2 linked regions of the Xenopus tropicalis genome follow. The protein of the gene in region 1 interacts with the protein of each later gene in a biochemical or structural test. Links are inferred from orthologs where the notes say so. Each region holds a gene or a part of one and is shown in the gene's direction. Other genes may lie near its edges.

Region 1 (3,751 bases):
TTGAAGTTTATCAGAGCACAGGTCACATGGCTGTGGCACCCTGGGAAATAAAGAATATGGCTAGCCCCATGTGAAATTTCAAAATTAAATATTAAAAAATCTGTTTACGCTTTTGAAAAATGGATTTAAATGCTGGAGAAGCTCTAGTTATTATCATATTGTACCAACAAGACATTTACTTCCTATACTTCTCTATCATGAATACATCTATGACGCAAATATGTCCATTCTGGTACCTGAGGTATTTTTACTCTGCCTCTAGCCCCAACAGCCTATATCTGCCACAGGACAATAGGAGTTTTTCAGTCAATAACATTTGAAGGTCTCTTACTCAAAAATAGCAGCATTAATTCAGTTGCGGTACAACCTGGCCTACACTGAGCTTTTACTGATTATTAGCACCATATTAAAACAAGAGAGCTGCTGCAACACTGAGCGCTCTTATCTTCACCTTTTTACACAGAGCTCATTGGCTCCCAGCGCTCCTAAGCCAAGGCCAGGCAGTAGATGACGCAGAGAGGGGCGGACCCAACGTCACCGGCCGCTGTCACTTATTGGCATGAGTGGGTGGGGCTAAGCAAGTGACATGTAAGTTCTTTTCCTGAGGGATGACAGCTCTGCTCAACTTTTCGACGCATTTACGACAGCTTCAAGAATGGACCGTGGTGACATAGAAGCTCAGGTAACGTTGCAGGTTGACAAAGCAGCCGCGTTCCCCATGTAATATACTGGCGGAAGAGGACGAGGGATTGACGTCAGAAAATAGTCCCTCCCTCTTAGCCAGTGCTCTGCCCTGTTTTTCCCGCCTCCTGTTGCGCGTTCGCGTATCCGGCCTACTCGCTGCTCTTAGGGATCAGTGCGCGCTGCGCTCTCGCCGGTTTCTGGCTGTGTGAGGTGATTCCCTGAGCCGCGGCAACTCCTCAGCGTCCGCTGGTTTGTTGGGGGGAGGGAGGGGGGACTGTGCGAGCGGAGGAACCATCAGGAATATAGAGAGGGGGGGACAGCACCCTCTGGCCTGCTTGGTGGCTCAGCTTATCCAGTGTAAGGTGTGAATAGCAGCGAAACGGGGCTACCTCCCCCCCCAACCCGGGGACGATGAGCATCGAGATCCCGCCCGGCCTGACGGACTTACTGCAGGGTTATACGGTGGAAGTGCTGCGCCAGAAGCCGCCGGACCTGGTGGAGTTTGCGATACAGTATTTCACCCGGCTGAAGGAGAAGCAGCTCCAGGATGGCGCAGGGGCCGGCTCTTTACGGCCTCACGCCCGGGTGGTCAACTTCGACGGGGAACCCATGCAGACCGAGTCTAACGGGGACGAAGAGGAGGACGAGGAAGATGACGATGACTCCGATTTCGAACGTAAGAGGCCGCATGTGCTGTGGGCAGGGCTGGAGTTTGAGAAGACGGGGGGCCCCCGGCAATGCAGGAAGGCTGGGGGCCCCCCCCCGGCAATGCAGGAAGGCTGGGGCCCCCCCCGGCAATGCAGGAAGGCTGGGGGGCCCCCGGGCAATGCAGGAAGGCTGGGGGGCCCCCGGGCAATGCAGGAAGGCTGGGGGGCCCCCGGGCAATGCAGGAAGGCTGGGGGGCCCCCGGGCAATGCAGGAAGGCTGGGGGGCCCCCATTTGAGAGGGCAGACAAAATCACATTCATCAAAGAGCTATCCTGCCCCCCAGCTTTTGTTAATGTGCAGCTCCCTGCCTTGCTCTGCTGGGGCCGATGTGCAGCTCAACACACGGGGGCTGCAGCTTGGATAGGGTTCATGTGCTCATTTAAAGTGCCCCCCCCCCCAATACTGACAGTATGAGAAGTTATTTACACTTGTAACTGTGGGACAAATGTCTTTATCCTTAATAATAATATGTAGTTCTTGACTCTTGCAACAATGTAGCTGAAGTTCTGCCCTAGATCACTTCATTTACCTGCTACTTCTACATTGTGTCAGGTGTCAGAACCAGCAGTGCAGAGAATGGAAACAGCCAGTTTATTTACCTGCTACTTCTACATTGTGTCAGAACCAGCAGTGCAGAGAATGGAAACAGCCAGGCAGATACAGTCAGAACTCATTTACAAATAAACTTCCATAACCAACGTTAATGTATATTGGAAAGGTGCTTAGAATGACATTTCTTCCTTGATGCAAGGAACCGGTTTTGAGTGGCTCTTTCGGTTTTTTCTTCCGCATATTCCTGCCCCAAAGGTGCCCCTGTGATGCTGTAAAGTCAGATGCACTACCTGCATTGACAGAGGGCTGAGGAATTGACATCTCCTCATGTGGAGCAGGGCTTCCAATGTCTTTATTTTAGTACTTTTTGTTTCTTGCCAGTGATTTTTAAAATTACCAATTACAGAGAAACTGTAAATGATTTAAGGCGCATAAGTCATTTTTTGGTGTCTGGTCTCGCTTCATAGCCTTTAGATCTTTAAAGGGGAACTCCGGCTTCTGAACCAAAATTTGTTAAAGAGCCCCACACAATAGTCATTCCTAATATACCTGTCACTGTAATCTGTTCTTTTGAAATACAGTTTTTATATGCTGAAGTCCAGCTGCAAAACAGTTCTTCTCTTTCTGCATCATTTAAAATCCTAGCAGTGGAGGAGGGACTAAAACATTGATGTTACAAATTGTAACAACTTCTCCACAGCTTACAGACAGCATGCAGGAACTACATAACCCACAATGCATTGCACCGTGAAGTTTCTTATTGACATCACGTGTGCAGGGAATTGTGTGATTGGGAGGATGCAGGCAATTACTGTTACATTTTATTTGAGTCTCAAAGTAGTCGGCCAGATCAGGCGGGGCTTAGGGAACTGTTCCAAACCATATTATTACATTAAAAATCATGAAATGGATGCATATTTTAAAATTTGTGTATTGCAAAGTTGCTTGAAATTAGCTTTACTTTTCAAAAAGCTCAAGTTGTACTTGGGTGGAGTTCCCCTTTAATAAACTTCCCTTTCAATGATGTCCTAAAGCCCTGTAAAATAAGGGGTGATTGTATATTACTTAGAAATGGTGGCAAGTACCAAGCTCCTGTGGGCAGGACACACTGTGCACATTTCTTGTCTTTTGTTGAGTTTAAAATAAATTTCAAGCTTGCTGGGCATGTACATGTTTGAGGTCTCCCTTTAGGGCAGAGGACACTACATCAGTATAAGTAATGTACCTACTAGGCAGGCTTATAGTTGCATTGTGGGATATCTGCTAGTGATGCCTGCTGCTCATTCTGCAATAGGCATAACATTTTCTCTTACAGAAACATCACTGCTGGTTATGCTTGCTGCTCATTTTCCAATAATTGCACCCACTTTATATGGAACAGTCTTCTCTAATGTTTGTGAGGTTTCCTTCATAATTGCTTGGTTTATCTCTCTCTGTAAATAATCGATTTACAGATTGTGCTCTCTGAAACCTTGTAGATAGCGTCCCACACAGAGATTAGTCACCTGCGATAGATCTCTGCTACCGCGGGCAACTAATCTCTCCAAAATGCCTTTCCTGTGGTAACAAAGGGGATCACCACTGGAAAGGCATCACTTCCGTCTTCCAAAGTGGCGCGAAGCTTCCTCCTGCAGGCAACTTTGTGGGACTTTGGAAAATGGAAGCAATGGGTAGGCCTTTCCACCAGCTATTCCTTTTTTGCCGGTGTATTTGCAGGTATTTTGGAGAGATCAGTCGCCCACAGTAGCAGAGATCTACTGCAAGTGACTAAATCTCTCCGTGGGACATTAACCTCAGCTTTTGTCCAC
Region 2 (3,702 bases), on another chromosome or scaffold:
ATTAGTTATATTAAAACAGTGTTGGAGATCTGGTAACTATTCAGAGCAACGATCCTTAAAGGAACAGTAACACCAAAAAATGAAAGTGTACAAAAATAACTAAAATATAATGTGCTGCTGCCCTGCACTGGTAAAAGTTGTGTGTTTACTTCAGAAAATCTACTATAATTTATATAGATAAGCTGCTGTGTAGTATGGGGGCAGCCATTCAAAGGAGAAAAGGCACATAGCAGATAACAGATAAAACACTATTGTATTCTACAGAACTTGTCTGTTATCTGCTATGTAACCTTATGGTTGAACGTGATGGACGCGTCTTTTTTCAACCCAACTTACTATGTTACTATGTAACCTGTGCCTTTTCTCCTTTTTTCCAGCTTGGATGGCTGTCCCCGGGGCTACACAGCAGCTTATTATATAAACTATAGTAGTGTTACTGTAGCAAACACACCAGTTTTACCAGTGCAGGGCAACATTGCATTATATTTTTATTACTTTAAAGCTCTTTTATTTTTTGGTGTTACTGTTCCTTTAAGGTTCCCTTTTCAGAAGAGAAAGAAAAGTATTGACATTGCATGCAGCTTTCCTCCATTCTGTGAGACAATAAGCAAAAGCAATATACAGGTTCATACTACATATTATGTAAGAGAAGGCGAGTCTATGGCAGGAATATCCCAAGTACCCGTGAGCTAAGGCTGCACCGCTCCCCTCCCAGGCTGCACTGGCTTCCTGTCCTGTGACTCGCACTCGTATGGTTGGTTGTCTCTGGGAGGAGGAGGAGGAGGAGGGAGAGGCCGCTAAGTTGAGAAAGTTTGTCTGAAAGACAATAGTATTGGTTGTGTGTCACTGCCATGAACCCTTAGTATTCCTAAAGAATAGAGAAGTCATACAGACACCTGCTTCGGGGAATTGTTTTGTCGCTGCCACATGCATTAAGGAACTTGCCGTTCAGTTACAGCTGCTGCGAGATTAAAGCTCTGGTTGATCGTGTCATTGCCATCAGTGCGTTTCCAAAATTCGTGTCGCGTCGCGCTGACAGAGTGTCGCTATGGCCGGAGAAGGGGCGGGCGGAGAGCCGAGCAGCCCCCGGGCGCCTGAGCGCAAGGAATATCTCTTCAAGGTGCTTGTGATTGGGGAGCTGGGAGTGGGCAAAACTAGCATCATCAAACGCTACGTCCATCAGCTTTTCTCCCAGCACTACAGGGCCACCATAGGGGTGGATTTTGCTCTCAAAGTCATAAACTGGGACAGCAGCACGCTGGTCAGACTGCAGCTGTGGGATATTGCAGGTAAGCACGCATTTCCTTAGGGAGAAGATTGTATAAAACCTTTCTCGGACAATGCTGCAACATTTGTAATACAGAAATCACTACATACACCCTAATGCATGAGAGGGGCACAATTGTTCTGGGCCCTTGAGAGGTAAGTTCATATATAGTACAGTTCTTTAAATCTTTAGAGGGGCAAATGCCAAAGATGTCCAAGCAGCATTTCTGTTACATAAATTGACTGGAAAGTGCTTATTTTGTTTCAAACGTGTTTAATTTACTGCCAATTGTAAACAGAAAAATATGTTTTGGCTACTAATGACTGTGGTATTTTGTCATGTTTTTTATCCAGTGAAAAGTTACTGAGATACCATGAATGGAAGATACCAACATAACACATATAATTGCTGTGTTTATAGTAGATGTATGGGTGTACGAGGTAAATACAGGAACACAGTGCTACAACTAGTTACATATACTACATTGGTGGTATTTTGGTTCAGTGACATAATAAGTGCCACAGTCTTTGGCAGGACCAGCACCAGTTAAAGTAGATGCATCTCCTCTGAGGAGCGCTGCTACAAATGCAAGTCTGGTTTCACAAAAAGAAATGCAACCCCATTGTGCCTGACCTACTTGAAACATTATCCTTGTTTTAGTTTGGTTACTACTTACACTGCTATTGACATACTTTCATATATATCCTTGTACTGTAGCATAGTTAAGGCCTATGCCACAGATCTAGCTTTGTTCCTTTGCTTTGTTCCTTTACTTTGTTCCGTGCAGCCATACAGGGCCGGAACTAGGGGTAGGCAGAAGAGGCAGCTGCCTAGGGCGCAACGATTGAGGGGCGCCAGGCAGAAGCCTCTCCTGCCTACCCCTAGTGCTGCTTTGTCATTGCCTCCGCCGCTAATGACAAGGCAATGACCAATCTAATCGCACCGCCCCCCCTGCGCCTCCTCCTGTGCTTTGGCGCGCATGCGCCGTTGGGGGTGGGCGGAGTTGGCCGACCGGGTTGCCTAGGGCGCCTGGTTGGCTTGGCCCGCCCCTGCGGCCATACATGTAGAAATTCTGATCTTTTCCATCAGTCAAAAAGGTGTGGATTTAGAAACAATATGAATTCTACCTCCACCTGTCGAAATATCGATTGTCTCATCGATCCACCATACACGCACCAAATACCATACAAAACGAGGTTTCGTACGATATCATTGGTGCGTGAATGGCCAGCTTAAGTGACTAAGGGTAAAGATACACAGAGCTACTAGAAGCAGCTTGTCACAGCTACAAAAATAGACAATACTGATCATTTACTGTGTGTTTTAGCAGAGGCAATTCTCAGTATTGTCTAAGGCAGGGTATTTTGTGGTATTTAGTAGCCGTGTCAAGTAGCTGCTAGTAAGTAGCTTTGTGTGTCTTAACCCTAAATGTTTTGACCATTTTACCCAAAATTATCATTGGAATAACTACACACTTTCACATCCAGCTGATTGTTGTTTTTAAAAATATTTATATACCAACTGCAGCTAGAAATCAGATCTAAATGCACAGATTTCTACATTAAAATTCACAGTCATTGACTCCAATTGAAGTCATATGTAAATCATGTACCTTTTCAGATTTTCCTGGCCCAGCATTCCGAGGCACTTTTTGCAGAAAACAATTTCATTGCATGGTATCATTTATTAAATGAATTAGTTGTGAGTGGCACCGAATCCAGGATTTTGGCCAATTTCTCAAACTGTTTTGTAGAATCCTAAGTGTTTAGCTGAACCAAATCCAAACTTAGTCATTTTACTTAGACAACTAAATGTTACAACTCTTTGTTTAAAATGTATGGAATTTCTGTTCCCCAAATGTGAATATGCAAATTAGGGTTTTGTTTATAGAATTTAAAAATAATGGATTAGTTGCATCCCTAACTAGGAAGGAATACAATGCAAATATCACATCTGTAAACTGCTGCCACAATACATTCCATGTGAAATTCTCAGGGGAGGACAAGCTGTGGAGATGGCTTTTTACACATATTTGCATTTCATGACTTCATTATTGATTGTGGTTATTCAAATAATTTATCTTTGTTTAGTTGTGTGTAACACTATGAGATTGCTTTCTGATTTGGCAGCCAATCTCAGTTTCTCCCATGCCCTGCTTAACTTTCTAGTAAGACACAATTTTGCCTATATAGTCAAACCAGTTAGTCCCTGGAAAAAAATGTATACACAGATATACACTGGTGTACAGTATATTCAAGATGTTAAATAGAAAGAGTACATGCAATAACTCCTTCTAGAAAACAGCAAACTCAATGGAGAGTTTTTATCCTTAAAGCAATACTGTCATGAGAAAACATGTTTATTTTTTTCAAATGCATCAGTTAATAAAGCTTCTTTGGCAGAATCCTCCATTGAAAACCATTTTTAAATACCAC

What was found.
Region 2: the proteins of prkar2a (region 1) and rab32 interact in a test that uses a peptide from one of them, tested with the Homo sapiens proteins (2 studies listed by BioGRID, with this or other methods). The link is inferred for Xenopus tropicalis from reciprocal best matches to the Homo sapiens genes PRKAR2A and RAB32.

Annotation. Positions count from the first base shown.
Region 1 is NC_030680.2:136,484,561-136,488,311, reverse strand, and holds the start of prkar2a (cAMP-dependent protein kinase type II-alpha regulatory subunit), read left to right. Parts: upstream 1-798; 5' UTR 799-1,095; coding exon 1,096-1,360; intron 1,361-3,751. UniProt on the Homo sapiens protein: Regulatory subunit of the cAMP-dependent protein kinases involved in cAMP signaling in cells. Type II regulatory chains mediate membrane association by binding to anchoring proteins, including the MAP2 kinase.
Region 2 is NC_030681.2:49,376,137-49,379,838, reverse strand, and holds the start of rab32 (ras-related protein Rab-32), read left to right. Parts: upstream 1-868; 5' UTR 869-1,048; coding exon 1,049-1,289; intron 1,290-3,702. UniProt on the Homo sapiens protein: The small GTPases Rab are key regulators of intracellular membrane trafficking, from the formation of transport vesicles to their fusion with membranes.